Schizosaccharomyces pombe: one gene and its partners. The gene in region 3 interacts genetically with the main gene of each other region. Each region holds a gene or a part of one and is shown on either strand. Other genes may lie near its edges.

Region 1 (8,411 bases), on a different chromosome or scaffold from region 3:
AAAGAACATTAACACAATAAAAATGAACCTCATAGTTTATGATCGACGTACTTTGGATATCTAGTGAGCCAAGCTGAAGAGACTGTATTCCAGGAAGCATTTAACTCGGTTTTGTCAGTACATATTGCAGTCATATCAGAAAATCAATCATTTGCTTTTAATTTTTTTTTGAAAAATAAATATGCTAAAAAGCCTTTTAGCCAGTCTTCCCTCAAAATATTTCACCCAAAAAGATTTACTGACGAAAGATTGGTATAATGGACAATTTATTGACTTAATAAATAACGTGATATAAGGTGCTCGTTATTTTCACTTGTGAAAACATCACATGTTAGTATTGTAAAACAGATAATCAGTGGCGATGCTCAAAGAATTTTTTGCATTATATTCAATGATAAATTTTTGATATTCATTCTATAAACTATATGCTCTATGATAAGCGAAGTATTATGGTGCGAGTAGAGGATTGTTCACTCAAATTAAAGTGCGTTGAAGAAAAAAAAAATACCTGTAATTTATTGTAAACACTACCTAAACTGATCGGTCATCTCTGAAAACACCAAACTTCGTTATGAAGATATATCACCCATTTTAAGTGATATTGCTATAGTCACCAAACATAACTAGCACATTGTATTAAATATTTTAGTTTGGTAGTTATATTACACAATCGAGGTACTTGTTAGAAAATTTGAAGTAACAATATTTTGTTAAACATTAAAACAAACGAATCGATTGCGGCAGTCAATAATTAATTATACGACCATCTTAAAAACGAAGTATTAATGAAAAAAAACTGTTGAACCAAACTGAAGGACCTCAATTTGAGAATCCAACACATTCATCCTGAGGTAGACGAAATAAACTTGCAATATAATGAAACCCCAGTTATGTAAGGTATCGTAAACAAATGAAAAATGATCAAATTTTTCTCACTAAGTGTGTATAGCAGTTTTGCTTAACATTTCGACAATAGCTCCAATATTAATAAATCCGAATTATCTTCTTGCATTAAATATAGCGAAAGTTTTCGGTTTGAAACATGCGAAGTTTGGAAAAAGCTTTTTAATGGCTATAATCACTTAATTATGTTTTGTTTTTTGGGTAATTTCATAGTTTGAAATAAATATGACTGTGTAATATACCATTCAGCCAGTTGCGATACATCAATATGGCAATTGAATCCTTTATTATCATACAAATTTCCAAAAAAATAATCAATTAACATACTCATGCAAAATCGTTTGATGTCATATAAAAGCTTTAGCATTGGTAGAAATGTGATTCCAAACCATATCCCTTAAACAATACTTCTCAAAAACAAAGATTAAATTAGGTCAGGAATAAAGAGAGAAGACATAAAAAGAATTCGTGATGCTAGACAATTCAGTATGTAAACATTTAAGTGGAATTTATGTTCAGTCAAAACTCTGAAAAGCAGAGTATATTATAAACACAAAATAGTTTTTTAGAATTATTCAAAATGATTCATGTTAAGGAAAACCTTTGAGATACTTGCTTGGAAAACTGTTTCAATTTGGTAGCGTCCGCTGTAACACACACTCCTTCTTCACCTCGAAAAGTTTAAAACTTCCTACCCACTTTATTTGCTTGTTTGCTAAGAACGAGTTGTTCTATTATATAAAATGCAAACAGAGAATGTGTGTTACAAAATGTCTCTTTTACAATTTATTAACCACGACTATTTATAGCAAGTGAACGATTTGTATCCGATTGCTGTTTTGATTGATGAGTTAAAGGTTGGTAACAAATTGTTTTACGTCTGATATGTTCAACTCTGACTATTGTTAAAGCATGATGAAATTACTTATAGGCTCAATGCTTTGGAACGGTTATCGACAATTGCTCTCGCTTTAGGTCCTGAACGTACAAGGGATGAGTTGATTCCCTTTTTAGATGGTATGCATTCAATAATAAAATTATGGAACTATAGGTTTAAATTTTTAAAATTCTTTATATTTTTTAATAAACGATGTATGTTTGTCGGCTAACATTCCTTGAATACAGAATCGATTGACGATGAGGACGAAGTCCTATCAGCTCTCGCCGACCAGTTAGGAAATTTTGTAGATTATGTTGGAGGCCCTGAGTATGCGCATGTCCTTTTGTCTCCCCTTGAAAATCTTGCTGCAACTGAAGAAACGGTAGTCCGCGATAAAGCCGTTGACTCTCTCAATAAAGTATGTATTTGCCTATCCCAAGAACAATTAGAGCAATATTTTGTTCCATTGGTTCAACGTCTTTCAACCGCTGAGTGGTTTACCTCTCGTGCGTCCTCTGCTGGGCTTTACTGCGCGGCATATTCTCAGTCAGAAAATCCTGCTGTCAAAGTCTCTCTTCGTCAAAGTTTTAGTCATCTATGTCACGACGAAGCTCCCATGGTCCGTCGTCCTGCAGCAACGAACTGTGCCAAGTTTGTTTTTTTGGTAACTAAACAGGAGGCTATTGACGAATTCATTCCATTGTTCAACTCCCTTTCTAATGATGACCAAGACTCAGTTCGGCTCCTTTCTTTCGACATTATGGTTTCTTTGGCGGAGGTATTAAAATCTGACTCGGAAATTCGTCACTATTTGCTTCAACCATTAAGGTCTTTTGTTTCGGATAGCAGCTGGAGAACACGTTATATGGTTGCTGCTAATTTTGTAAAACTTGCTAAAGTAGTTGGACCATCTCTTATTAAAGATGAACTTATTAAACCATTCGTACTGCTCATGAAGGATACCGAGCAGGAAGTCCGCCGTGCTATTGCTACTCAAATACCAGGATTTTGCGAATTGTTGGATAAGCGAATTGTTCTTGAAGAGATTATTCCAGTTATTCAAGAGTTAATTAATGATCCCGCTCAACATGTCCGTGCTGCTTTAGGGATGAACATAGGTGCTCTCGCCCCACAATTAGGAAAGGAAAAGTATGTCTGCTAAAAATAACTTTTCTTTTAAAAACCTCATTTTACTAATCGTTATATTTAGGACTACAGAGTATCTTTTACCAATGTTTTTGGAATTACTTAAAGATGAAAACCCTGAAGTTCGTCTTAACATTATTTCGAAATTGGAAGTTGTAAACAAAGGTAAATTGCAAATTCAAAATATAGCTATTGCTACAGTTATACTAACTCACTTTAGTCGTTGGTATCGAATTACTTTCACAATCTTTATTGCCTGCAATTGTTACACTTGCTGAAGATAAACAATGGCGTGTTCGTCTTGCTATCATTGACTACATTCCACTACTTGCTCAGCAGCTTGGGGTCGAATTTTTTAATGAGAAAATGGGCAATTTATGTATGTCATGGTTAGAGGACCATGTATATTCTATTCGTGAAGCTGCGATAAAGAATTTGCGAAAACTTACGGAAATTTTTGGGTTGGAATGGGCAACTGAGACAATTATTCCAAAGTTTTTGGCTATGCGAAGCCATCCAAATTATTTATACCGAATGACAACTATTTTTGCGATCAGTGTAAGTTTTTCTTTTTTGCTTTTTTCCAGTTCTAACGTATTTTAGGAAATCGCACCTGCATTGAATGCTGAAGTAATTGAAAAACAAATTCTTCCAACTTTGGAACAGTTGGTTAATGACCCTATTCCTAATATTCGCTTTAACGTTGCCAAGGCGTTTGAAGTTCTTAAGCCTGTTTTGGCAGCTGGTGGTGACTCGACCGTATATGAACAGCAAATCATCCCATTGCTCGAACAACTTACAAAAGATAATGACCCTGATGTTCAATATTTTGCTACTCAGGCCTTAGAGCAAACAAATGACTAATTGTTGGGTTATATGATTGCATGTCTAAATGAGCCAAAAGTTTTACCTTTATGATTTGTGTTCACTATGTAAAAATGCAAAAGAATGGACTGTCTTGACTCTGGCCATTCGTTCGACATCAAGTGTCAAGCCCTACATCTAATTCAAAGCATCGTATTGACACACAGTAAATTAGATATACAAGATATACACGATATGGCAAAATTGGAGCCGAATGCATCAAGAAAGCTGGCATCAACCGTAATTACTTACGAAAAGTGTAATTTTGAATGAAAACTTATATTTACATCTGGAGAGATTCAAACAATTTAAGCAGCTGAGATATAAGGTCATTTGCATGAGATAACAAATGGTTGTTAATCATATTCATAAATATACGAATATAGAAGGATATCTCTATTTCCGTATGCTAAACGATATGTGTAGAAATTCCTGCGAGTATCGAAAAGTCCAGTTATCTGTATTCAGGAACATATTGCTTCATAGTCCCAAGTGTATCAGATGGAAAAGCTGAACGAAAGTAAACTATTGAAGACATAAAATTGAAATAAAGGTGTAAATAATAAAGGAGAAACATATGCCGGGTAAATTATGCAAACTATGTAGATTTAATTAATTGGCAAGAATCATTTGAACGAAATCTAAAGGAAGCAGTTAGTATAATTAAGTATAGGTAGTTGATTGCCGAAGCCCAGAGTAGTAATAGAGCATACCGTGATAATTAACCATGCCATCTTTTACGGGAACACCCTTTAATAACTCGTCCATTTCTTCGTTGCTGAGTTTTTCACCCAAAGAAGTTAAAACTGATACAATTAGTTTCGCATTTTTTTATCAATCTGAAAAAAGGATAGATCTCTATAAATACATACCATAGCGCAATTCACCCACTCCAATCATGCCAGTGGCATCTTTATCAAACACCTGGAAGCCCTTCACGAATTCCTCTGGGTCACCAGGCATATCAAACCCATTGGGACGATTTAACACTTGAAGGAATTGTTCCATATCGACTACCAATTAGTATTGTCACTTAATGCACGGCTAAGGAGTATAACTCTCCAAACCCATAACAAGAAATCATACCTTCTGCGGGCAAAGTAGATTCAATTTCAGTAATCTCAGCCAGCGTAGGATTTTGTCCACACGCTCTTAAAAGATCACCAATGGACGTTTTGGGGATGCGACCAGTTCCATGGCGGTCAAATAAAGAAAAAGCTATCTTTTCGTTAATAAACATTTTGAAATGATTTCAAAAAGTAGTTATTACCTTGTTTATAAGGTGAATCGTCTGTCGACATGTTTGACTATTCTAAATGGATTGTTAGGATGAAGGTAAGTGTACTAAGTCGACTGTAATCTGTGTACACGCACCTATAAGCCCCATAGCAACCGTTGCCATGATAATGTTTACTGTATAGCGATCTGTTTAGTAATTTACTAAAGAACGTAGAGCTATGTAAACCAGCTTATATGAACAGAATTGTCATTTACTTTGCCAGATTTTAATTTAGAACATCATTCGTATACAGAATATGAATAGTCATACTAATGTCGAGCTACTTGATAAATTATGAAATGGCTGGCGATTTCACTATTTCTAGTGCAATACAAAATACGAGAGTCACCGGAACACGAGAAATACAGTACTGATGCACTTCATAAATTCAATAATCACATCAGAATATCAGATATCATTAACTTGTTAACCTCAAAAGACTAATCTACCGGAAAGCCAACGCTGTCCACCAGACTTCTAATTTTCGGCGTTTGTGTACCAAAAAGGCAGTCACAGATGGTATATCTAAATTTTCGGGCTCACAAAATATGCATTGAGTAAAAGTAAAATAAACGAATCAATATGTTTTTATATGTTGCTTTAATGCGTGGTTTATATAATTGAGCGAATCTTGGAAATAAGTATTTTGATAAGCAATGTATATATTCTCATATCCCAGTGGTACATGACAGTAAACATTGTAGGAAACGTAATTATTAAATATTATATATCAATCCCTTTTAACATTAATTTATGAATTAATAAGAAACCGAAAAAAGGCTTTATTTTATGTTTTTACGCTCAACCTTCAATTTACTTTCAAGTAATTAAATAGCAAGTGAAATCTAGAAATTGATACAAAACAAAGGACTTATAAATTTGAACAAATTTTTAAGCGATGATGTCCAGAAATTGCCTACTACTTGTTTCGCAGTTCCGATGACTTAGAGCCATTATCACTGGATCATCTTATTACTGGACTACATATATTTTTCGTTGGCGCTGCTTCGAACTCAGACAGAACCAACCTTCGTCGTAGTAAAGGACCTTTAATAGTGTTTACTTACTTGGCATTCAACAACTTAGGAAGCACTCTTTGACCTAAATTTATTAATTCTATTTAATAAGCCATGTCTCCGGTAAGTAACCCCAATTGGGCATCCAAAGAATTTTGCTAGTAAAAATTTTCATCAGTCGGAGAAACAGTACTGAAAGTTATCTTATTGAGTTATATAGTAGATTTTACTATGCGGATAACAAATTTGTTTTTGCTGATGAATTTTTAGGCAATTGAAATTTTAAATTTTTTTGTTTCTTTTTTTTGAAATTTTTATTGCTTTATGTTGATTGCTATGTCCAGCATGTTTGGTCTTTTTTTTTAATGTCAATTTGCTAACATTATTCAATTAGGTTTTTTTACCCAGCGGTGAAACTTACGATCAAGAGCATCTTGATGACAACCGTGTCTTAGGTTACAACCCTTTGGTTCCTGCCGCTTTGGTTCAACAAGAGATTCCTGTTTCTGAAACTTCTCGCAAAGTCATCACTGACTCCAGAAAGGAGATTCAAGCTATTCTCAACAAACAAGATGACAGAATTATCGTTGTTGTCGGTCCTTGCTCCATTCATGACCCTAAATTGGCCATGGACTATGCTAAGTTGCTGAAGCCCAAAGCTGACGAGCTTCAGGATGCTTTGTGCGTTGTCATGCGTTGTTATTTGGAGAAGCCCCGTACTACTATCGGATGGAAGGGTTTGGTCAACGACCCTAACTTGGATGGTTCTTTTGCTATCAACAAGGGTATTAGGATGGCTCGTCAAATGTATTGCGACGTTACCAATTTTGGCATTCCTTTGGCCAGTGAGATGTTGGACAACATTTCTCCCCAATTCTTCGCCGACTTACTCAGTTTTGGTGCTATCGGTGCTCGTACTACCGAGTCTCAATTACATCGTGAATTGGCTTCTGCCCTTTCCTTCCCTGTTGGTTTCAAGAATGGTACTGATGGTACTGTTGGTGTGGCGATTGATGCCATTGGTGCTACCGCCCATCCTCACACAATGCTAGGAGTTACTAAACAAGGTCTCGCCGCTATTACCATGACCAGGGGCAACAAGGATACCTTCATCATTTTGCGTGGTGGTAAGAAGGGTCCTAACTATGATGCTGAGCACGTTGCCGCCGTTCGCAAAGATCTTGAGAAGGCCAACCTTCCTCCTCGTATCATGATCGATTGCTCTCATGGCAACTCAAGCAAGAATCATTTGAACCAACCAAAGGTCTCCAAGAGCATCGCCGAACAAATCAGAAATGGCGACTCTTCCATTGTTGGTGTTATGATTGAATCTCATATCAATGAAGGTCGTCAAGATGCTCCAATCCGTCCTGGCGTTAAGGATACTCTCAAGTACGGTGTCAGTATCACTGATGCTTGTGTTAGCTGGGAACAAACTGCTCCAATGCTAGACGATCTTGCTGAAGCTGTCCGTGCTCGCCGTCAAAACCAAAAAAGTAATTAAGACATATAAATGTTATATTCAGCAGTTTTAATTTTTTTAATTTTTGAAACTTATTTTTTCGTAACATACAACAACTGAACAATTTTGGCTTAAATACGGGTTCTATTTATTTTTTTTTGTTTTTTTTTTCTTATATCGTACACAGCTTCTACCAATAACACCTTCGTTTTTAAGAATTGCTGTGCAAGTTTTGCGAAATGTTTGATCGTTTCATATGTTTCTAATCGATCTCCTTTAGCTTGTAATCAGCCATAGGCACATTGGACACAAAATTTAAAACGTCTATGAGTACAGTTGTACAAAGATCAAGTTTATTAGTAAACAATAAAAGAATGCAACATCTATTTAAATAACCTAAATCACAACAAACTATAGCCAGAGATTAATCATAATAAACGAAGTAAAACCGTACAAAAGCAAACCAGAATCCAAAACAAATACATTCCATAAGTTGCTATTTAATTTTTGCGTTCAGCAGTTACACTGACCCATCGATTCGTGGAATCACTATTGGGCTCCTTTTTCATTTCTTCTGCTGCATTTAAGGCCAAATACTTTCTTTGTGCTAGTACCAAATCGCGTAAAAGCTGAGGACTTGGTTTTTTGGCATGCATAAAATTACAAAGGCCACCCCGCTGACATTCCGAAGTTTCGTGTTGCCGGCAACATGCCTCGCGAAAATCAGTTACAGGAGATAACTCGGCGTAGACTGGTCTTTGGGAATACCATCGGGAATTTAAATCATCAATAGCATTTTGGGCAGACTCTTCATACTTGAATCTTACATAAACATTTCCGACTAAGTGATCTCCAACATTG
Region 2 (8,945 bases), on a different chromosome or scaffold from region 3:
AAAGAAGAGAGCAAAGCGTTTGAATGACGCTGTACCTTTGGAAGATATGGCAGGTTCTGAATCAAGACCTAGTTATGATTCTATTTTCAGAGAGTCTTTTGAGGCAAAACGATCGTTTGAAGATTCAAAGGGCAAAGTCCCCTTAAGTGCTTTAGATGGGACTGCAACTATTCTCCAATCGCGTCCCATGGATATTATTGATTATGAAGCCGAAGCTACTGGCGAGTGCCATTTCAAAAAAACATACTGGAAGGATGTCCGTGTAGGTGATTTTGTAAAAGTTATGGATAATGATGAAATTCCCGCAGATATAGTCATCATTAATTCATCCGACCCTGAAGGTATTTGTTACATTGAAACCAAGAATCTTGATGGTGAAACCAACTTAAAAATGCGTCACGCTCTAACGTGCGGAAAGAATGTAGTTGACGAGGCCTCATGCGAGAGATGTCGTTTTTGGATAGAGAGTGAACCACCACACGCTAACCTTTATGAGTATAATGGAGCATGTAAGTCCTTTGTCCATTCTGAAGCAGGTGGCTCTGATACCTCCCAAACTGTTTCAGAGCCCATCAGTCTGGACTCAATGCTATTGCGTGGTTGTGTCCTTAGGAATACAAAATGGGTGATTGGAGTTGTCGTATTTACTGGCGATGATACCAAGATTATGCTGAACTCTGGTGCTCCGCCATTAAAGCGTAGTCGCATTACTAGAAATCTTAATTGGAATGTTTATCTTAATTTCATTATCCTTTTCTCCATGTGTTTTGTTTGCGCAGTTGTCGAAGGAATCGCCTGGCGTGGTCATTCTCGCTCCTCGTATTACTTTGAGTTTGGTTCCATTGGTGGTTCTCCTGCCAAAGATGGTGTCGTCACGTTTTTCACTGGTGTTATTCTTTTTCAAAACTTGGTGCCCATTTCGCTTTATATTTCAATTGAAATCGTTAAGACCATCCAGGCAATTTTTATATATTTCGACAAAGACATGTATTATAAGAAGCTAAAGTATGCTTGTACTCCAAAATCTTGGAATATTTCTGACGATCTTGGACAAGTGGAATATATCTTTTCTGATAAAACAGGTACTCTTACTCAAAATGTTATGGAATTTAAAAAATGTACGATCAACGGAGTTGCGTATGGTGAGGCATTTACCGAAGCAATGGCGGGAATGGCAAAACGCGAGGGAAAGGATACTGAAGAATTGACTCTTCAAAAGCAAAGTTTCATTGAACGTGACCGAATGCAAATGATTTCTCAAATGCGAAATATGCACGACAACAAATACCTTGTGGATGATAACCTCACGTTCATCTCGTCGCAGTTTGTTCATGACCTTGCTGGCAAAGCTGGTGAAGAACAGTCACTTGCATGCTATGAGTTTTTCTTGGCATTGGCCCTTTGTCATAGCGTAGTTGCAGACAGAGTTGGTGACCGGATTGTCTATAAAGCACAATCGCCAGATGAAGCTGCACTCGTGGGTACCGCCCGCGACGTTGGCTTTGTTTTTTTGGACCAGCGGAGAGACATTATGGTTACTCGTGCTCTTGGAGAAACCCAAAGATTCAAATTGATGGATACTATTGAATTCAGCTCAGCGAGGAAGAGAATGAGTGTGATCGTTAAAGGACCCGATAACCGTTATGTGCTTATTTGCAAAGGTGCTGATAGCATTATTTTCGAACGTTTGGAACCAAATGAACAAGTTGAATTACGTAAAACCACTTCTGAGCATCTCAGAATTTTTGCATTGGAAGGTTTACGAACACTTTGTATCGCAAAAAGAGAGCTTACTGAAGAGGAATATTACGAATGGAAAGAAAAGTATGACATCGCCGCATCTGCAATTGAAAACCGTGAGGAGCAAATAGAGGAAGTTGCCGATTTGATTGAATCTCATCTTACTTTGCTCGGTGGAACAGCTATTGAGGATCGATTACAAGAAGGAGTACCTGATTCAATTGCATTATTGGCTCAAGCCGGTATCAAATTGTGGGTTCTGACCGGAGACAAAATGGAGACTGCTATTAATATTGGTTTTTCTTGCAATTTATTGGACGCTGGCATGGACATGATTAAGTTTGATGTGGACCAAGAAGTGTCAACACCAGAGTTGGAAGTTATTTTAGCTGACTACTTATATCGTTATTTTGGTTTGTCTGGATCAGTTGAAGAACTTGAAGCTGCTAAGAAGGATCATGACACTCCCTCTGGCTCTCATGCGTTAGTTATTGATGGATCAGTACTTAAACGAGTTTTAGATGGTCCAATGAGAACCAAGTTTCTGCTACTTTGTAAAAGATGCAAGGCTGTCTTGTGTTGCCGTGTTAGTCCGGCTCAAAAAGCAGATGTTGTTCAATTGGTACGCGAAAGCCTTGAAGTAATGACGTTAGCCATTGGAGATGGTGCGAATGATGTTGCAATGATTCAAAAAGCTGATATTGGTGTTGGTATTGTTGGTGAAGAAGGCCGTGCTGCAGCTATGTCTGCGGATTATGCAATCGGTCAATTCCGATTTTTGAGCAAGCTGGTTCTTGTTCATGGCCGTTGGGATTATAATCGTGTTGCTGAAATGGTAAACAACTTTTTCTACAAGAGTGTTGTATGGACATTTACTTTATTCTGGTATCAGATTTACAACAATTTCGACGCAAATTACCTTTTCGATTATACTTATGTTATGCTGTTTAACTTGATTTTTTCATCGTTACCTGTCATTGTCATGGGTGTCTATGATCAAGATGTTAATGCTGATTTGTCGCTTCGGATCCCTCAGCTTTACAAGCGTGGTATTTTGCAATTAAATTCAGCCAGGAAAATCTTTATTGGATATATGCTTGATGGGTTTTATCAGTCTGTAATCTGTTTCTTTTTCTCTTTTCTTGTGATTAACAATGTGACCACAGCTGCTCAGAATGGTCGTGATACTATGGCTGTACAAGATTTAGGTGTTTACGTTGCTGCGCCAACTATTATGGTTGTCGACACGTATGTTATTCTGAATCAATCAAATTGGGATGTGTTTTCAATTGGTTTATGGGCGCTCAGTTGTTTGACATTTTGGTTTTGGACTGGCGTCTACTCTCAAAGCCTTTATACATATGAATTTTATAAATCTGCTTCGCGTATATTCAGAACTCCAAATTTTTGGGCTGTTTTATGTGGAACGATTGTAAGTTGTCTTTTCCCGAAGTTTTTGTTTATGACAACGCAAAAGTTATTTTGGCCATATGATGTGGATATCATTCGCGAAAGTTACCGCACTAAACGCCTTCATGAATTGGATGAAGAAGAGGAGATTGAGAATGCCGAACAATCTCCAGATTGGGCATCTTCTACTTTACAGGTCCCTTTCAACGCATCTTCGTCAAGTTTGGCGACACCCAAGAAAGAACCTTTACGTTTGGACACAAATTCGCTTACACTCACATCAAGTATGCCAAGAAGCTTTACCCCGTCATATACTCCAAGTTTCTTGGAGGGCTCTCCTGTGTTCTCTGATGAAATACTTAACAGAGGCGAATACATGCCTCATCGTGGTTCCATTTCTTCTTCTGAACAGCCGTTACGGCCTTAAAAAATGGCAAGTTAATAAGCTGAATTATCTAATCAAGATAATCTGTGTACCCATTCTATTTCTACGCTATGCTTAAGAACATAACTTTTCATACTAAAGAATGATGAATTATCGAATAATGATTATGATGTTATAGAAACATCTCTGCATACTAAATAAAATACATGAACGTTTACATTTTTCTTCTGAAATCAAAAGATTGCATCAAATTTAAAATGTATTTTGCATTCACAGTACATTTTAAAAATAACGAGATAAATTTACTATATCTAGTTTACATTTGTATGATAAATAATAAAAACAGACTTTTTAACAATCTTGTTCTAAGTAGTAAATTTGGTGGTTGGTTTTTTAAGTTTTGAAATTTCCAGCGACTGCTGTAATCAAACTTTGGTTGCTAAGGGTAAATGGCTGATACCTAACTCCGATGGAAATGTACTCTGCCGTAAACAAAACACGTAAGGTTATTATTGACAGGAGTTTTGCATTTTTTGGGGACCAAAACGTTGGATGTTTACGATACATATTTAAAGAAAACTAATAATGAATCGTGTTAATGATATGTCACCAGTTGAAGGTGATTTAGGACTTCAGCTAAGTTCTGAAGCAGATAAGAAATTTGATGCATATATGAAGCGACATGGTCTTTTTGAACCCGGCAACTTGTCGAATAATGATAAAGAAAGGAATTTGGAGGATCAATTTAATAGTATGAAGCTTTCCCCAGTGGCATCTTCGAAGGAAAATTATCCTGACAATCATATGCATTCAAAACACATTAGTAAGTTACCGATTGCAAGCCCTATTCCGCGTGGTCTTGATAGATCTGGCGAGTTGAGCTACAAGGATAATAATCATTGGTCAGATAGAAGTTCAACGGGTTCACCAAGATGGGAAAATGGATCTATGAACTTGTCAGTTGAAGAAATGGAGAAAGTGGTCCAACCTAAGGTAAAGAGAATGGCAACCATTTGTCAAATGTTCTTTTTAGACCATTACTTTGAGCAGCTTCATTATCTTTATACCCGCAAGCAAAGAGCCCGTCTTTTTGAAGAGCAGTTGCTTAAAGAGCCTGATTCACGAAGAGACGAGCTAGTGAAGCGATACAATGGACGTGAACGAGTATATCTAAGGAAAAGGAGGACACGCATTAGTCACGGAGATTTCCAGACCATCACTCAAGTCGGACAAGGTGGATATGGCTCTGTTTGGTTGGCTAGGAAGCGTGACACCAAAGAGATTGTTGCTTTGAAAATCATGAATAAATCGGTTTTGCATAAAATGGATGAGATCAGGCATGTTCTTACTGAGCGTGATATCCTTACGACAGCCAACTCGGAATGGTTAGTTCGTCTACTTTATGCTTTTCAGGATACTTCAAACATTTATCTCGCTATGGAATTTGTTCCTGGTGGTGATTTCCGTACTTTGCTTAGCAACAGTGGTGTTTTAAGGGATCATCATGCCAAGTTTTATGCTACAGAAATGTTCCTAGCTATTGATGCTTTGCATCAACTTGGTTACATCCATCGTGACCTTAAGCCAGAAAACTTTTTGGTTGGAGCTAGCGGCCATATTAAATTGACGGACTTTGGTTTAAGTTCTGGAATAATCAGCAAAAAGAAGATTGAAAGTATGAAGATTCGTCTTCAAGAAGTCAACAATGTCGTTGTTCCCGAAAGGAGCATGAGGGAAAGGCGACAAGTGTTTCGAACTCTTTTATCTCAGGATCCTGTATACGCTCATTCAGTAGTTGGCTCTCCTGATTATATGGCCCCAGAGGTTTTACGAGGTGAAAACTACAACCACTCTGTAGACTATTGGTCTCTTGGCTGCATCATGTATGAATGTCTTTCTGGTTTTCCTCCATTTTCTGGCTCCAATGTTAATGAAACCTGGTCTAACTTGAAGAATTGGCGCAAGTGTTTTCAACGCCCTCACTATGATGATCCCCGCGATTTGGAATTCAACTGGAGAGATGATGCATGGGATTTTGTATGTCACTGCATTACTGATCCCAAGGATCGCTTTTGTTCTCTTAAGCAAGTCATGCAACATCCTTACTTCTCAAAGATTGATTGGAAAAATGTTCGTACAGCATATCGTCCTCCGTTTGTACCCGACCTTAATTCTGAGATTGACGCAGGATATTTTGATGATTTCACTAATGAAAATGATATGTCTAAATATAAGGAAGTTCATGAGAAACAAGCTGCAATTGCTAATATGGTTAACACATTTAATAAGCCTAAACGCAATGCTTTTATCGGCTTCACTTTTAGGCATCAAAAAAATAGTCATCCTACTAGCTCTAGTAGCGCATTATCTAGTCCCCTCTCTGCTCCTTCTTTCGGGACTCTATTATAATCAAAGGGAAATTTAATGACCCTTGTTCATGGTATTTTTATAAGACATCTACTGTTATTAACTATTTTCGAAGATACTGAGCTTCGCTTTTGATGTTTTGACATTTACAGTACTGTCTTTTACTATTGCATTTCACTTTCGAACGGCATTTACATTACAATTTGCGAAAGTTATCACTTTAATTTTATGATGTTTATTTGGAAGTATCCTTTTTCATTATATTATATTATATTTTTATTTATCTTCCACTATTTTATTCGTCAATATTCAGCTTTCGCCATTTATATAGAAGAACTTGCAATTACCAGATAAATTATGTAAATCATTTACTTGATAGGGAAATAGACACTATCTGCAATTTAATATCTTGAACCATTTTTACTATTTTGGAAAATTTTTGTTTTCGTGTATTATTTGTTGTTTAGTGAGCTGTAAGATATTCGTTTTGTTGGCAACAGCAGAAGAGCTGTAACATTCATCAAACTGCGATACCTCATTATCCTCGTTTCTTACTGCTTTCCTCCTAAAGCGTCTACCTTTTGCTCTTTATTTCACTCGTAAATTAATCTGTTAATGAAAGATTCACATAGCTCTCGGAGGAAGTATGAGAAGGAAAAGTTGGTATTCGCAACGAATAATGGAAAAAGAACAGAGGGTACCCCAGCTTTTTTAAAAAGCGGTAACACAGCTTCTTCATCCTCCCCTACTCTTCAATTTCGTCCTACATCGAGATATCCGACATTGAGCCATGAACCAGTGTATACGAATGTTTTGGACCTGTCTTCAAGGATTGACGCGAACAGGGCTAGTATAATGAGCGCTACAATGGGTACTCCACCTTCAGCATTGAAATTCTCCAAGAAAAAAATATCCCGGCCTGTTGTTAGTGAAGATACCTTCAAAGACAAATTGCCGCGTGCAACCATACCGGTCAAGCCGGAGCCACAGCCACAGTATAAAATTCCAGCTGCACCTGCTCCTACAAGCAAACGTGTAGTTAACCGTGGGTTAAAGCTGAACACTAATTTGAGACAGGCTTCTCCTATTTTGCCTTCACCTAGTTTAAAGTTGGATCGGCAAGATGCCCCAATACAAATAAATCATGAGCAGAAAGAAGATTTTTTGGTTTCTATTCCGCGACCAACGCCAATGACCAATTTAGATGATGGAAAGGATGAGATTGGACAACCGGATCCTCATAGAAAATATATGGCACCTCCACGTGTTAATTCTATAAGTCGTGTACAGCGTCGTATGAGTTACATACCATACGGTGGGTTTGATGACTTCTTAGATAACTATTACAAGGATGACGATACTGTACTTGAAGACAATCAGCTTAAGAGTAACTCTCGAATAGAAACTTTGGAGGAAGAAGATGGAGCAGAAAGTGACTCCATCACAAATACAGTTTCTAATGCTTCGTCAGATGCAGAACCTGCTCATCGTCATTTGGGACCAGTTTATGAAAACTCTGGACACCTCCCTTCAAAAAGTCACTTTTCATCAACCGACTCGAATACAGATTCATTCGGGTTAGAAAGCGATGAACGTTCGCTTCCTTCAGTTTCTAATGACTTAAAATCATCCGAAACTTTGAAAAATCCTCGAAATGATGATTTGCTTACACTTCAACAACCACCTCGTTATCCACATTCTCAAATGGTAATGCTACCAGCTCGTTCTCCAGTTGAGGTTCCTGCTCCTACATTTGATCGTAGAAATGTTTCGAGGAACTCGAATAATAACTCTCCCGAAGGTTATGATAATAATCGCACAAACCCAACTGTTAATAATTTACCTTCATATCCTACAAACCTTGCACGTCCTAAGGCAATTAAACCAATGCCTACTTCTATACACGGTCAAACAAGTCCTTTATCGCCAATTCCTCCGGTACACACAACCCATGGGTTAGTTTCTGACATTCGTCCTCTCCCTTCTGTTTCTTCCCCGATAATGCGTGCTGATAGCACACCGATTTCACATAACTTAGCTGTGACACCTTCGTTTTCCCCTATTCCACAGCAAAGTAATAAGTCTATTGGTAATCACAAAAATACATCGGTTGCTAATGTATCATCCAAGGTTGCTAATTCCAAGTTTGAAAGGAATATATCTATGATGTCTAACAGTAATGCTTCTTCACCCGCTATTTTTGAAGTGGGTGCAGAAGCAAAAGAAAAGACGAAGGATGCGATTCCTTGTCATCCTGATGATAAGTTGATGATTCCGTCACCAAAAATTGTGACGCACGGAGACGCTATGCAAGAAGAACAGCGTCTTCGCCAAAAATCTCAAATCACACCTGATGACGAAGTTGAGTTGGCAAAAGTTTATTTGAATGCATTAGAAACTTTAGAAAACAAGCCGAGCTTAGCTCCCGACCAGGCTAGTTATAATACTCGAATCAATGTTTATCGAACCAGAGCTGTTGAACTTTTAAAAAAGAATGCTTATCCTAGCAAAACCCAGAATACTGTACCCGAAGCTCTGTTTTTAATAGGACAATTTCACAGTCAGGGGGTATTAGGATTTAGACGCGATTTGGGAAAAGCATTTGAGTTGTACAGCCTTGCAGCTAAAAAAGGACATCCTTTGAGTAATTACAGAGTTGCTGTTTGTCTTCAAACTGGTACCGGGGTTAAGCCGGACACTAGTAAGTGCGTTGCCATCTATAAAAAGGCAGCTGAAATGGATGTAGTCGAAGCTATGTTTCGTATCGCTCTGATTTACTTAAATGGTTTGTTAGGGCAAAAACGCAATATATCTCTCGGTGTGCAATGGCTCGAACGTGCATGTAAGTCTAAGGGGCCCGAATCAGTTAGAGCTATGTATGAACTTGCAAAGATTTATGAGCAACCGGATCGTTACGGAGTATCTGCAACCCCTGAAAGAAAGTTTGAACTTTACAAACAATCAGCTGTCTATGGCTACGCTGCCGCCCAGTGTAAACTTGGGGAGTGCTATGAACACGGTTTATTAGGGTGTTTAGCAGAAC
Region 3 (8,021 bases):
AATGTATTTAGCAAAACTTGCGCATTCCATCCAGTGCGTGTAAGATGAATAAGGATGCCAACCATTTTGCGAATTTGATGCTTCATAAACGACTGGCCGTGAAAGATTAGCTTAACCCATTGGCGATTTAACTTGTCAATGTGAAGGTTATCCACACGCACATCTAATAAAAACCTTCGAGAACTGGCGTCCGAAAAACCCTTCTCCGTTGTATAACTGTGAAATCGATGGGTGCCCCGAAACATCGTACACGCATGCTTTAGAAAGTCGAGTTTAGGTTTGGATAAACGAAAGGGCTCGGACAAGGAATTCGCAACACAGTCTTGTTTGCTTAAGTTAGCTAAATGGGAAAGTGTTTCATTAATGGGGAATGCTTTTTCAGATGCCTTGGCAATTACATAGGCCTCGAGAGTGCAAGGACGGGGAGTAAGTAGAGAGGAGACAGGCAACCAATACTCATATACGCGACTGTCGCACACAGTGTGTGGAGAAAACGAATTAAACGTCCTCGCCATTTTCCATACACGAATACAAGGTGGTAAAATATCGTTGACCAAATTCACCACATGAGGTAGAGGTTGATTGTCCAACACTTTCAAACCAAGAACATTAACAATGGCATGTACACCCTTGTCTGTTCTAGCAGCAGAACACATTCGGATCTTCTTGGGAGAGTCAGCATTCACCTGAACAACGGCGCCTACTCGAGCGAATGCTTGGAACAGTGTATCTTGTATGGTTTTGACATTGGCATTGTACTGCAAACCAGCAAAGCCAGTACCACGATAGCTGACAACACAGTAGACCATTCGTTTCCGGGGTTTCACCGAAATCGAAGAAAAGAAAACCCGATGTCGTTGGAGCAAGCAAAGCACAGATTGGTTGGCAGAGAACCTTGAAGGTCTTAAGAGACTATGCATAGTTTGAAAGATGAAATTAACTAAGCAAGTTTTTAATGAAAGAGAGGAAAGGTACTACAGATGGCATGTGCTCAAGCAAAAGTTAGGATATTAAAAAAATATTAAACTAAGGGTAGAAGCACTTCAACTGTTTTTCATGAACAATATAGAATATTACTATAATTTTTTGGAAAGAGCCCTAGCTTCCATGAATAGTCTTACCCACAATACCCTGTTGTTTATCTATTTTCTTTTACTAAACCAAGCTGTACATACTAGATACCACAAAGAAATACCTTGTATCTCCTTTCTACCCCTTTGAATGGACAATGAAGCCGAAAATTTGCCGTTTTTAGAAGGTCCTTTTTTTTCAACTTTTATCGAAAATTAATTTTTTTTCAGTCGTTTCAAAGGTCAACCTACAAAACTAATTCTTTTCGTTAGCAACCGCTTTCTTATCAATCTTTGCTTCTTTATTTACTGTTCTCTGCTAAATTTTCGTTGATTTATTTAAAATACCTTCTAAACCATACTTTTTCTTACTACCCGGGTTTTGACAAATTTTTTTCTATGCAGCTCTATCCGGCAAATGTTAAGGGATTGAGATATAGTGAATGTTGCATCTTAACCGCTAACCCATCGGTTCAACATTTTGTCATGCATGATGATGCTGGTGTTCCTCTAACGTACAGCGTTTCCACACTGCACGCCGAACTTACCGACCACCTATACCTCCCAACCACCAGGAAAACAGTCGCAGTAGGCAAGAAAACGCTTTTTGTAGTGCAAAAAAAAAGATTTAAGCCGGAAACATAGCAGAATAGCAGAAATTTGATATTTACTGTTATCATCTCCATTATTATTTGGATTAGTTTTCGATTGTCCTTTCATTCATCTAATAACGCTTGTTTTTCTTTTTTCTTTTTTGCATTCTCAGTCTTGGTTGTTTTGCTATTTATTGCGTTCCTCGGTTTCTCCCTATTAAATATTTTCTTTTCATTGTTTTTACGGAAATTCTCATTTTTTCATCTTAGGGGCTCGTTGACTCAGCCTGCACGACAAGGAAAATTATATCCGTTTCGGAAGCACAACGTGTGTGTTGAAAGTCTTACTTTTCTTTTTTATTTTTCTGTACCCTTTCATTGAACTTTAGCCATTTGTTGCTTTGTTGAATTTTGGCCATAAATAGTTTTTCAACTGGGTTTTTATTCGACCTCCTTTCATTATTCATTTCATTTTCATATCTATCCATTTCTATCCCCACTAAACAATTTTGTGTTTTTAGGATTTCCCTATTCTCAATCCATAAAATAGTCACGATTCGTTTTCATTCAGATACCCGGCTCCTTATTTTTTTTTTTTTCGAAATTTTATTCACTCGTTTGATTTCGTTGATTCATTTCTTCCGCCTTTTACTCATTACTTAAGGGTATTTGCTTATTAAACGTTTGGTCTTTTTTTTTGCCCATCTTTTTGTTCATACAAAGTTTTGTGACATTTATATAATATTTAGTCTCTTCGTTTTTGTGTGGGTTACCTTTTTTGTTTTATTCTTTTTCTTTTTTTTTTCTCTTTCTTCCCTCTTTGTTTTTTCTTCTGACCCTATTTTATGCCTTATTATTATTTTGATCAAGTTTCAATCATTTTTTCACAAAGATTTCATATTCACTTTACTTCTTAGTTTTTTTCTTTTTATTTGAAATTTCTTGGAATCTTTTTGCCTTTTTTCTTTTAACTTGATCTCTCTTATTTAACGTTACTTAGAAAAGCTTCTTTTATTTTGCTTTTCCTTTCATTCTTCGCTCCTTTATAAACCGTGTTCATACTTCTTTTGCTTACGTTTTGCCAATCTTCCCAGCAATTTTACTTCTATCTTGATTGTTCTTGTTGTTGGATATTTACTCTTTGTTGATAGCGGTATATTTTATTTGCTTCTCACTTTTTGCCCGATTGCTTTCCTTTGATTTACCTCTCCAAAAAAAAACAAGTGTCTTTTGTTTACTTGTTTGTATATTTGTTTATACTCTGCTGATTGAAAAGTTGATTGTTTATTTTATTTTTCCATCTGCAACCATTTCTTTTTTTTTGAAAAAAAAAAAATCGCTAACTGATTTTTTTAAGCATTTCGAATACCTTCGAAGTCTTTTTATCGATACTTTTGACGATTTCTTCCTCATAAGCCTTGCCCTAGACTTTTTGTTAGCTCGGTATTTTTGCATATTTCAGTCATCTTTTTTTCATTTTCAGTTTGTGTTTTTTGCTTCACAGTTGTATCTGTCTCTCTTTTAGCAACTAGAATTATTTGTGGTGGTCAACAGTTTACCCTTTGCTCTCGTTTTCTTGAAGTTACAGTCTTTCTTTTATTATCTTCGTCCAGTATTCTAGGTTGTTGCCCTTCTAATTCTTTCGCGTCAAGTATTTGGATTTTTCTAATACTTGCTAACAATTTTTACTGAATTTTTTATTTTTCTTCATTGCCCTTGCTTATTTTTATTACTTACACACTTTCTTTTTAGTCGACCAACTAGGTTTCTAACTTTTTACTCCACTTATTAACTATTTCGTGTTATTAAGCTTGAAGCCTCATTTATTATCGTTTGGGGTTTATTTAACAACTACTGCTATTTCATTTGTGTTTTACTTTTAGGCATCTATTGCTTATTTTGGTTACTTTATCAACCACTTTGTCATTCTTTTTTCTCTTCTTTTCAATTACCATTATATATAATTTGCAAAATGTTTGTGGGATCACCGAGCGCTATTGAAAAGCCTTTATCGTTATCCAGTAAGACCAAAGTCGGGGACGAAACCGAGTTTACTGAAGATGCGCTACGTGGTTCATCGTTGGTTCCAACCGGTATTCTGAATGGAGATGATGAATGTCATGCTCTTCACATGTCTCCTCAGGCTATTCACAGCCAAGCTGGGAAAGCTGAATCTGACGGTTTACCTACTTATGCATCTGTGGAAAAATCCACAACTCCGATTGGTAGACTCCTCTCTAACCTCAACGGTGGATTAGCCTCTGCTCCTCCTAAGGTTGGATTCGGTTTTCCTAGATATTATGCTTTGCGGATTGAGGATTTACCTAGGGACTTAACACCCAGAGAGTTTTTATGTACCTTTTTATTCGCTACGAATGTAGTATCCGTCGAGCTTAATCCTGTATCCGTGGATAATGAAGTTGCTCATGGATTGGCGGTGTTTTCATCCCGAGATGCTGCTGCATCTGCTAGAGACACTTTGCTATCTAGCGATGTTTATTCCGCGTGCAGCATGATAATTTTAGACAATTATCGAAAGGGAAGTCAAACAAATCTTAGCGACGAAACTGAGGGCTCTGAGAGTAGTGTTTCATTTAACAGACTGTCTCGAAACCATTCTCCAACTCGTCCACTGTTAGGAAATCGTGATCTTTTCCGCAGGTCAAGTAATCATGTGTCAGCCAGTATGCCTACTGCAAATCATTCGGAATCTGCTTATCGTCATTCAAAAACACCTTTGGGTGATAGCACTTTTCAGGCTCCTAACAATGGAGGTAGTTTGCATTCCGATAGGTTGTGGTCTTCTTTCCCTGTTTCTTATCCTTTAACACTCGCGAATGTGTTAGCCAAGGATGAAGTTGGTTCACCTACGTGGTCACCCACTCCTTCCAAAAGTAGTACCAATTTGCGTCAAGACGGTGTTCCTCCGATTTTGCGATTTAACTCATTATCTATTAACACCAACGTGGCGCGCAATTACCTTTCATCTGAAAAGGGTTATAGCGCTCATACCCAAAATTCTAGTGCTCAATCACCCCATCCTCGTGTCTTTTCGGCAAACAGTGCATTCAGTACAACAAGCCCTCCTCCCTTGACACCATCAACATCAAGAGACTACCCATTTTCAGCTTCTACCATTTCACCTTCCACACCATTTTCGGCTTATTCCTCCAGTCATGGAATTCATCAACGCATCCCTGCTTCTACCCCCACGAATACCAACCCTGCTGATCAAAATCCTCCTTGTAACACCATTTATGTTGGAAATCTTCCTCCTTCTACTTCCGAGGAAGAGTTGAAAGTTTTGTTTTCCACTCAAGTTGGATACAAAAGACTTTGTTTCCGCACTAAAGGCAATGGCCCCATGTGTTTTGTTGAATTTGAAAACATTCCATACGCCATGGAAGCCTTGAAGAATTTACAAGGTGTTTGTCTTAGCAGTAGCATTAAAGGTGGTATTCGTTTGAGTTTTTCGAAGAACCCATTGGGAGTGCGCTCATCAAGTTCATCGCATAACAACCATAATGGAAACGTTCGTAACCTTCACTCTGGTTCCATGAATAATTACAATACAGACTCTTTGCTTAATCATACTGGTGGACATAACGAAGTCCACGCCAGTCCCAGTTGGGGTAATAATCTAATGTATGGCAAATAGCTCATCTAGCATTTTCTCGTCTTCATTTTATCATTATTCATCAATACCTTGCAAGGACTTTAGGTCCAAATTTTTTAAGCATATTGTTTCTCTTTTTTTTTTTTTGAGTTTTGCATATTGATTCTTTGTTAATCAAAAGTTGCGATCTATTCCACTTTGACTGCATGCAACTTTAACCATCTGTTAAGCTTAATTACAATTTGTCGATTTATGCGATCTGTTTTATTTCACTCTTATATAAGATGGGTACTTGCATTGTTTAGTTGTCATTAGGATTTATCATTTGCTCATCATTTCCATATACTTCTGCTACACATATCAATTTACATAATAATATCGACTTTTGCTTCTAAATGAACCCATCTTAAATTGCTAAACAAGTACTGTAACAACTTGGTTAGATGTATTTTTATTGTAACACCCAACTTAAGCTTACATACAAGAATTTTTAGGATACATTGATAAGCAAACACTTAATCCTTTTATAAATATTAGTATAGTCTAGGTGAATAAAATATTTCCAACAAAAACTGTATAATAGTAATCCCGTCCTTTCCCTATTAAGTTGAAATTGATTTACTTTTTTTAAAATTGCGAGGAACTTTAGGCATGCTTCGTCCTTTTCACAGGCGGCTGTTTTGAAGTGCTGTAATATTCTGACTCCGATTCTGACTCTGAAGAAGTTTCAGAAGTTTCCGAATCCAAACTTTGACGTTTCGCAGCTTCATCTTCGACATTTTTGGGTTCTGAATTGCTATCGGCCAACATAGCTACCATACAGGTAATTCGATTGCCTTCTGGAATGTTATGCTCAATTACTAAGTTCCAATCTTTATCCCATATACATACTGAACCATCCGAGCTTGCAGTAATTAAATAATCATCAACAGGGTAGACAGATTTGACGCTAACTTGATTAGAAAATTTTGAATTTTTAATTTGTTGAGTATAGAATATAAAAAGACACTTACCGTTTCTTATGCGCCGTAAATTCATGTAAAATCTTCCCATCAGAAGTATCCAAAACCAGTACTGTTCCATTATCTCGTCCAACTATCAATTTGGATTGATAGAGACACAAAGCGTTCAATTGAGATTTAGAAGAGAAGCTGAAAAGGGAAGTGAGATCCTAAAAATGTATTAGTAATTTATAAAAGAAGGAGGAAAATTGCATATAGAAAAATGCATAAATTCTTACCAATTTAAAGGCATCAATGCCTCTTCGTGACATAATAACAAATGACGACTCATTCAGGAAAAGAATAGATTCTGGGATAGTGCTTAAAGGTAAAACTTTACCTCCTTTACCTCGTACAAGGTCCCAGAGCCGCAACTTTCCATCACCTCCAACTGTTAGGGCCAATTTTTCTGAAGGGTGAACTGCTATACCAGTGATGCCCTTATGAGAAGATGACTTAAGAGTATGAACCAACAACCATGAACCTTTAGACCACATACTGATTTGCCCGTTATCATGACATGCTAAAAGGTGATTTTTAGTAAAACACATATCTCGGATACATGCATTGGCGATATCTGTAGGAACAGAAACATCGGCTATTTGGACGTTACGAGTGTGATCGAAAATTCTGAAACGATGTTAGATTATGCTTAAAAGGATAATTAAATACAAGGAAGGAAGAATGAAACCATTTAAGTCCAGTTTCATAATTCCAGTTGCAAATAACTTACTTAATTGTTTCATCACTGCTAGTAGAAGCCAAGTAAATACCGTCGACAGCTAACGCGGTTAAAGCTCCTTCATGAGCTTCAAAAAGCCACAAGGGCTTGCATTTTTTCCTCTCAATGTCTGCATCAACACCGTAAATGAGGTGAGTATATGTTCCAACTACAAAACGGAGCATCGGTGACTAAAGTATGACAATTGAAGCCTAAATCCAGTTATACAAAACCCAAAGTAAGTTATAATAAGCACCCGATCCTTTTGCTTTTTCTATTATAATTTAATTGAGTCCTAAACCACAAATTCTCAAATACCAAGTAAGAAGGAGAGAGTAGCAAAGAATTTGCAGGTGTAATGAAATTTTAAAGTAACAGCAAGAAGTTTCACTTTATGTTTTTCTTCAAAACCAATGAAGAAAGATTTTTAAATTGCTGAAATTGATTATAGAGAATGAATATTAATAATAAATACCTTATTTTGTGTGCTTTTGGTCTCAAATTGATCAGATTGCTAATGTAAACAACTAGTGTTTCAAAGTAGCAAGCTCAAGGAAGAAAAAGACATACAGTAGCTTTTACTTAAACAAAGAACCTTCCAAGCACTAAATCTTTTCTTGTTTCAATTTTCACCCTGCATGTTACTGGTATGGTTTCATCAAATATTATTGTAGCGAGGTTTCAGGGATTAGCAGCTCCATTACAAATGTTCAGACATGATCTATATCCCCTTCTTTATAAGATTATATATCTGAACAGTTTCACATAGATTTATTATAAAGCAATAGAAACTGAGGTCGAGCTTTCGAAATCGAATAATTGTTTATAGATTTATTTTTTTTATCTTGAATATTTCCAAATTTTATTTCAACATTTATCAAAATCTGTTCACAAGCGTATTTTCCAGGTCATACGTCCGATTGCAGAGAAAGAGTAAAGCAGCTGACAGCCCCAAGGCAGAGCGGACCAACAAACATTCTCACGTTCTTCCATGCAATATGTCGTAACTTAGAAGAAGTT
Region 4 (7,311 bases), on a different chromosome or scaffold from region 3:
TTAAACAATGGCTCCTATTAAATCTCGTAGAATTGCTGTTCTTGGCAGTCGTTCTGTTGGAAAGTCCAGGTAAGCGTTTGATTGAAGTTTATGCGCAAATAGGTTTACTAACCATTTTTTTTAAATAGTTTAACGGTGCAATATGTTGAAAACCATTTCGTTGAATCGTATTATCCAACTATTGAAAATACATTCAGCAAGAACATCAAGTATAAGGGTCAAGAATTTGCTACTGAAATTATCGATACGGCTGGTCAAGATGAATACAGTATCTTAAATTCTAAGCATTCCATTGGAATCCATGGCTATGTACTCGTTTACAGCATTACTAGCAAATCTTCTTTTGAGATGGTTAAAATAGTTCGTGACAAGATATTGAATCACACTGTATGTCAAATTATTAGAATTTTTAAATTTTTTACTAACCTACTTGCTATTAAGGGTACTGAGTGGGTCCCCATTGTGGTTGTTGGCAATAAGAGCGACTTGCATATGCAGCGTGCTGTTACCGCTGAAGAGGGAAAAGCATTGGCCAATGAATGGAAATGTGCATGGACAGAAGCTTCAGCTCGCCATAACGAAAATGTTGCTCGAGCATTCGAGCTAATTATCAGCGAAATTGAAAAACAAGCAAATCCTTCCCCTCCTGGTGATGGAAAGGGTTGTGTTATCGCCTAAGCTTCTGCTTGAATTTATCATATTATGGATTAATTTATTTTAACTGAATTAACGATTTTATCTTTGCTAATGCAAGATATGGGCTTACATTACATGAGGTGATACTTTGCACACAAACGTGTTTTTTTACACATGGGTTTACAAGATTTCGACTCTTTATTTCAAATATACAAGTACCTAAACTATGGTTTTAAAATTTAGTCAATGTAATACATAGTGGAGAAAGTACAGCCAGACATTGTAGACGTAATTTGTTGAGTTAGCTCTTCGGAAGTTTTAAACTAACCAAATTAATTTTTAGACATAGTATTGTTTATTAACATCTATACAAAACTATTTTGAATATTTCCCAAAATCGACCTTTTACCACTTTTCTTCATGAATCACTTAAGCTTCAGCTTTCCGCAATCGAAAGTGAAGGATATCCGTTTTACCTGGGACAATAACATCAGATTCGCCGACGTTTCCATTTACACCCACAATAGACATTGCTTCTCCACCCAATACCATTTGAGATACCTGTCCAGCAGTCGTTCCTTGCTTCACTAAGATGCAATCTCTGAAAACACCTTCATTAGGAGAGTTTGCAAAATTGTGAACGTTTTTAACGGGAAAAACTGGAATCAAATTTAAAAGTTCCATTGCCTTTGCTAAAACATTACAAACTCCAGTTGAACCGTGTCGAAATAATACCATGTCTTGGAGGTCTGCGATACGGGTTTTAAGATTTTCGCTCAAAGGTTTCAAGCCAGAGTCAGGAAAATCGTCTAGCGTATCAACAAATTCAGAGCCCTCCTCGTACTTAACAAACCCCTGTTTTGCCAATCTTCGAAGAAAAACTTCGGATATGGCTGAAGCCAGTACGAGTCGATTTGGATCTTCTTTTCTAGCTATTTTAGATATATTTGCATCCGCATCAGGATGATCAATTTTGTTAAGAGCAATAACGGTAGGAAACTTGATATCAACGAATCTGTTAACCACTTTTTCAATTGTATCATCATCCCATTTCTCCAAAGGTGTATCTAAATGTAGCGAATCTAAGACTTTAGCTGTAACAGCAGGGGTACTTCCATATCCAGAAAACTGGGATTGTAGTGTATTGACAGGATTGGCTTTCGTAGCAATATGCCTACGAACTATATTAGGCCATTTCTCTCTCAGATTGTTTCCGATCCATGCAGTTATTTCCTTATACAACCAAGCGATATCTACAGAAGGATCATATCCACGACACACTTTTCCTTCCGCATCAGTAGTACCTGAGACATCTACCACATGGACCAAAGCATCGGCATGCCGTAAATCGTCTAAAAATTTATTGCCAAGCCCCTTTCCAGCATGCGCACCTGGAATAAGACCAGCTACATCAAGCAGCTGAATAGGAATTGAACGTACACCATTTTTGCAACCACCATAAATTGGTTTACATTTGTCCTGTAGTCCAAATCTTGAGCACGCGCATTCTATTTGAGCATAGCCAATAGCCCGGTTTGGCTCAATAGTGGTAAAAGGGAAATTACCAGTTTTAGCAGTGGCATCTGTCAACGCATTCAGCATCGTAGATTTACCACTGGAGGGCTTGCCAACAAATCCAATTAAAATGTCTCTACCCATTATTTGGAAACCTTAGAAGAAGTATGTGAGAAAAATTGGTACTGAAATCCAGGACCTACTCGTACTCTGCAATCTGAGAATTAGAGTAGTGGTAAGGGTCGAGTGTTTCGTAATACCTGCTTTTAGGACTAAAGATTTAAAGGATTGTTTGCTTGCACATTTATAATATTTTTTTTTTAGCATAATTTATTTTATTGTTATTATGTTATCTTCGACATAGTTTGAAACAGTAGATTGTAGGCCGTCTACAGGCAAAGAGGATGGTTGTAAGGAGAAAAAGTGTACAGAATAATTTATCTCGAAATCTCAAAGCTCAAGAGAAAGCTAATGACTATAAAACTATCGTCCGCAATGTATGCGGTAATTCCTTAACACTGAAAATCCAGTTTGCAATCTGTTAAAAAATGTTCATGAAAATCAGTTAATCTATGTAGTGTAAATGGGTAACTTTTCAACCATATGGTTTAGGGAAATGGAAAGAAATGGGTATAAATAACAGTTTTTTCTAGTGAGAAATGAATAGTTTGAGGAACAACCCAGCAACAATGCACGTGAAAAGTACGGAAAACAAAGAAAGAATTTCAAGTCTGTGCTTCAATCGAACAGTCGTATGCAATTTCTTAGGGCCCGGAAAATTCCCTGTTTCAAGAAGCGTATCGATAAGTTTATCTTTCTCATACCATCTTTGATAAAGCCAATCCGTAAACTGATCTTCTTCAGTGGGAATTTCCGAAATTGGGAAGCGACGAACGTGAATATGAAGCCTTTTGATGGGGACTCCTTCAAAAAAGAGCTTAGGTAAAGAGAAAGCATCGGCGGCATATTTCTTAGGAGAGGGATCAGAAAAATAAAATGTGTAATCGTACAAATAAGTCATCGAATCACGAAGCTGACTGATACTATAAAAGAGCCCTCGCACACGTGGGAGCATTAAATGCTTTGGCATTTTGACTCCAATTTTATCGGCATACACCCTGCTCCTTTGATATGTGCTTTCAACCAAGTTGGTTCCTTCTGGGAAGAGAATGAGACTGACGGAATCACGTACATTGCGAATGAACTTGAAATGACGAGACATAGTCTCGTAGTCTTTGTCCCATTTGCGAGAAAGGAAAATGAATCTAAACAATTGCATACCCCAACCTATAACTGGCAACCATTTGAGAGAGTTTTTTAACATAATATAAACATGACCATGCTGTTTAGCAGTGTACGATAACCACCAAACGTACATCCAGTCCGAGTAAAGTTGATGGTTTGCGATAACTATGTTGCGTTCAGCAGCAATTGTTTCCAAGCAACCATTTCTATCCAAATAAAACAAATTTCGAAGCTCGGGATCATAGGTGAGAGTTACAGGAGTCGGACTAAAAAGCTGGACCAAAGCGGTAAACAGAATACCGGCGAATGATTTTGTAAAAGCAATATATTTGTTATAAAGCTCCTTGTTGACAAAATACAGAGGAGTTCCAATAACTTCCGAGGTATAAATGGTAACTGAACCAACAGCCAAACATAATATGAATGAATACTTGCGAATCGCAATTCTGCATGTCATGTTGTCAAACCTAAATGAATTAAAGGAACCTAAATCAAATCTCAAGAAATAAAAGACTGTTAAATAGAATCCAGAGAAAGTTAGCAAAGTCGGTTTTAGTGATGCCCTTTCGCGTTTCTCACCGCACAGTAAAAGTCGTACACGAACACTAAATAGACACCAATTTGAGCAAAAAAAATCCCAAAAAGAAAATTAAAAGCTCTCTGCTTTCTTTTTAATTTCTTAGCCGCACGTTTAGCACCAAAGTGTAATTCAGGGAATGTCAGTGGTTATAGGCAGTGGGTAAAGAAGTAGCGATCGTACGTTGTCAATTTGTAAAAGTGCTCGGACCTAAACATACGGTCGTATGAATATGATAGGTATTCCAGTAATTAATTTGCGCTTAATATTGGTTGGCTGGATGGTCTTGAAAGTTGAACGGTAGAATGACCACGTTTGTTTACGAGGAAGGGACGATGAGTGGAAGGTTGGCACAAACCAAGCCTACCAGAACCCAACTCATACCAACTTTTTTGCATTTTCTTTCATGTTTGGATTTAGTAATAAGACAGCGAAGACATTCCGTGTAAGGAAGACTGAAGCGGGAACGAAGCATTATCAACTACGGCAATATGCTGAAGCAACGCTGGGATCTGGCTCTTTGATGGAAGCAGTAAAACTGCCCAAGGGAGAAGATTTGAATGAATGGATTGCTATGAACAGTAAGCTAAGATATAAAATTGACACTTCAAGAACTTTTATTAATTGAATACTTCTAGCAATGGATTTTTATACACAAATTAATATGTTGTATGGTACAATCACTGAATTTTGTACGGCGGCTTCCTGTCCTCAAATGAATGCTGGACCAAGTTATGAATATTACTGGCAGGATGATAAAATATACACCAAACCCACTCGCATGAGTGCTCCCGACTATATTAACAATCTGTTGGATTGGACTCAAGAAAAGTTGGATGACAAGAAGCTCTTCCCCACTGAGATTGGTGTTGAATTCCCAAAGAATTTTCGCAAAGTGATTCAGCAAATATTTCGAAGGTTGTTTCGCATTTATGCTCATATTTACTGTTCCCACTTTCACGTAATGGTAGCAATGGAGCTTGAAAGCTATCTGAATACATCATTTAAACACTTTGTATTTTTCTGTAGGGAATTTGGGTATGTGTTTCAATTTACTTACTTAAAGATGTTAACAACAAATTTCAGCCTTATGGATAACAAGGAATATGCACCAATGCAAGACTTGGTAGATAGCATGGTTTAAGAACAGTTTTGTAGTTATTCAGGAACAGGAAATGGGAGGTAAACTCGGTTCCCAAACTTACCAATTTAATGTTTTATTTTATCCCTACCATTACCATTTTATCCAGACCTTAGCACAATTTTTTATGGAAAATTTCTTCTTTTCATTTCAATCATTCACTTGAGTGATTACCATAAAGAATAGTTGCTAAAATTACTCTTTCTACTCCTCCACTTTTTTCTTATGACACTGCATTCTTTTAACTACTTTTGAAAAGTGTGGCATATCGCCTTTGCATAGGCTACTTGTGCAAAATATTCTCGCATTCTCTAAAGTGTCTATCTTCATACAATTCATTTTATTTATAACATTTCATGTATCATATGTCTCTGGAATCTTTATTTCAGGTTTCTGTTAAATACCGAAAAAGACTGCATCGTTATTTGAGAAACTACTTACTGAATGGTGGTGGATGTGAGATAGTAAATGTGCGAAATAATCTGAACTTTTTAATTCCCTATTATTTTAGTCTTTTTGCTTTTCATCTTATTTTTTTTTTTTAGTTTTGATGATCTGAGGATGGAAAGAAGGAAAGCAACCGTCCATGTGGGTAAGGATCAATGAATTCATCGTTGTTATGATATATCTATGAGTTTCATGATACCGCTTCCTCATATGGCCATTTATCTACGATAAATGTTTGAGGTTATGATTTAACTTGTTGAATATTATATGACGGCGATACTTCGTTTTAAAAGATTGTTGTTTTCAAAGATCTGTTTGCTAACTTTCTTTTTAGGTAACTTGGCTCCATCTGTAACAGAATCTCTTTTATACAATGCTTTCATTCCGTTTGGAGAGATTATCTCAGTTGCATTACATCGTAAAGAAAAAGGTAAAGTAGTCATGTATTGGTGTCATGTTGGTAAACAACTAGTTTTGATGCCATGAAAATGCTCAAACATTTTAAAAGTTTAGCTAACTTTCTAGCTGTGGACCGTTCCTACGCGTTTGTAGAATTTGATGAACCAGAAGACGCTAAAGAAGCTATGGAAAATATGAACTATTCTATTCTCTGTGATCGTTGTATCAGAGTATCGCCTGCAAATTTTGCGTTATCAGCTGAAGAGACAGCAGTTCCAGATATAGGTAAGAAAAATAGCTGCTGAAGAGGCTTTCAATTTTTTATGCTCTTTACTAATTTACGTAGCAATGTTGCATCCTGAGTCAGCGGATTTTCAAACTTTCAAATCGACTTCTACTCCTACCTCTTAATTTTGTAAGATATTGTTTTCTTTGTAATTGCCTCACCTTATAATAAAGCAAAATTGGGCATGCGAGTGACTATAGGTGAATTGTCTCCTTTTAAGTACTATATTTTTAAAGAGAATACCTCATCCTCCCTCCTTTTTTATCATTTTTATTCTTTACATTTCGAACCGACACCCATTCATCTTTTGTTAATGGAATTGCTATGCATTTAAGCCTTTTTGGAAAGCAAGGCTTGGTATTTACGATTGACGCTTCAACATTACTTTAGCATTGATTTCTTTATTATCCAAGAATTCATAGTTATTGAATGAATATACATACCTATACATATATCAGTTTTGCAAATCTTCCCCTTTGCGCTTTAAAACTCTCATACTCAAAATATCATTTCATAGTGCACTAAGGGAATTTAAGCCCGTATATTCCGTAACGTTATGTTAAAGTAATAGGGTAGGGTTTTGTGACCTGTTGTGACTGCTCAATTTTACTATAAATGGATGTACAAGAGTTTACCATTCCCCATCTTTGTGCACGGGTATTACGCTTATCAGTGAGGAACTTTTCCTAGATGGCGTTATTGCTAGTTGAAAACTATTACCCTGACCGCTCCAACTCTCGTTAAGAGTTTTGGGAATATTTGGAAACCAACTTATTGCAATAACTCATATGTTTACAATGTATGTCTTTAGCAATTTGGTGGTTTTTTATTTTTTGTAAAATTAATTTTATATGATTTTGTGTATTTTTTATTAATGAAAGCACCAGTGAATTTCTGCTAATAGTAATAATGTGCTTACCGAAATAAGGAGCTAAAAGCATTCAGTAATCTTTTGCTAGGCAGAGATCAAGATAACGTAAATTTTGTTATATAATATGTTACGCTTTCCTTGTTTTATAGACCTGTTAGCCATTAGTAGTGCACAAGTGTTATAAATAGTCATTG

Evidence for each region.
Region 1: mutations in scw1 (region 3) and cdc4 impair growth when combined (synthetic growth defect), as found in Schizosaccharomyces pombe (one study listed by BioGRID).
Region 2: of scw1 (region 3) and sid2, a mutation in one rescues a mutant of the other (synthetic rescue), as found in Schizosaccharomyces pombe (2 studies listed by BioGRID).
Region 4: of scw1 (region 3) and mob1, a mutation in one rescues a mutant of the other (synthetic rescue), as found in Schizosaccharomyces pombe (2 studies listed by BioGRID).

The regions. Positions count from the first base shown.
Region 1 is NC_003424.3:5,325,901-5,334,311, reverse strand, and holds cdc4 (myosin II light chain cdc4), read right to left. Parts: upstream 5,125-8,411; 5' UTR 5,095-5,124; coding exon 5,064-5,094; intron 5,012-5,063; coding exon 4,880-5,011; intron 4,807-4,879; coding exon 4,666-4,806; intron 4,600-4,665; coding exon 4,507-4,599; intron 4,435-4,506; coding exon 4,406-4,434; 3' UTR 3,794-4,405; coding exon of another isoform or gene 3,533-3,793; 3' UTR 3,488-3,532; downstream 1-3,487. Other genes in the region: phosphatidic acid transfer protein Ups1, read right to left, coding at 52-134; serine/threonine protein phosphatase PP2A scaffold subunit Paa1, read left to right, coding at 1,647-1,661, 1,713-1,760, 1,815-1,920, 2,029-2,932, 2,994-3,094, 3,150-3,487, 3,533-3,793; SPOM_SPAP8A3.07C (phospho-2-dehydro-3-deoxyheptonate aldolase), read left to right, coding at 6,203-6,211, 6,483-7,592; U2 auxiliary factor small subunit Uaf2, read right to left, coding at 8,051-8,411. UniProt on the Schizosaccharomyces pombe protein: Involved in cytokinesis. Required for the formation and function of the contractile ring.
Region 2 is NC_003424.3:219,028-227,972, reverse strand, and holds sid2 (serine/threonine protein kinase (NDR family) Sid2), read left to right. Parts: upstream 1-4,019; 5' UTR 4,020-4,120; coding exon 4,121-5,944; 3' UTR 5,945-6,279; downstream 6,280-8,945. Other genes in the region: dnf2 (phospholipid-transporting ATPase), read left to right, coding at 1-3,577; cfh1 (chitin synthase regulatory factor-like Chr3), read left to right, coding at 6,518-8,945. UniProt on the Schizosaccharomyces pombe protein: Part of a signaling pathway. Required for initiation of medial ring constriction and septation.
Region 3 is NC_003421.2:669,841-677,861, forward strand, and holds scw1 (RNA-binding protein Scw1), read left to right. Parts: upstream 1-3,635; coding exon 3,636-5,321; 3' UTR 5,322-5,411; downstream 5,412-8,021. Other genes in the region: pus3 (tRNA pseudouridine synthase), read right to left, coding at 1-920; SPOM_SPCC16C4.21 (uncharacterized protein), read left to right, coding at 1,470-1,715; p21-activated protein kinase inhibitor Skb15, read right to left, coding at 5,925-6,228, 6,293-6,450, 6,520-6,910, 7,014-7,186.
Region 4 is NC_003423.3:467,194-474,504, reverse strand, and holds mob1 (Sid2-Mob1 kinase complex regulatory subunit Mob1), read left to right. Parts: upstream 1-4,341; 5' UTR 4,342-4,379; coding exon 4,380-4,554; intron 4,555-4,611; coding exon 4,612-5,011; intron 5,012-5,059; coding exon 5,060-5,117; downstream 5,118-7,311. Other genes in the region: Rheb GTPase Rhb1, read left to right, coding at 8-69, 129-387, 442-678; SPOM_SPBC428.15 (Obg-like ATPase), read right to left, coding at 1,066-2,295; mlg1 (1-acylglycerol-3-phosphate acyltransferase), read right to left, coding at 2,801-3,853; SPOM_SPBC428.12C (peptidyl-prolyl cis-trans isomerase E), read left to right, coding at 5,676-5,706, 5,896-5,991, 6,087-6,245, 6,307-6,371. UniProt on the Schizosaccharomyces pombe protein: Has a role in promoting the onset of septum formation during the latter stages of mitosis.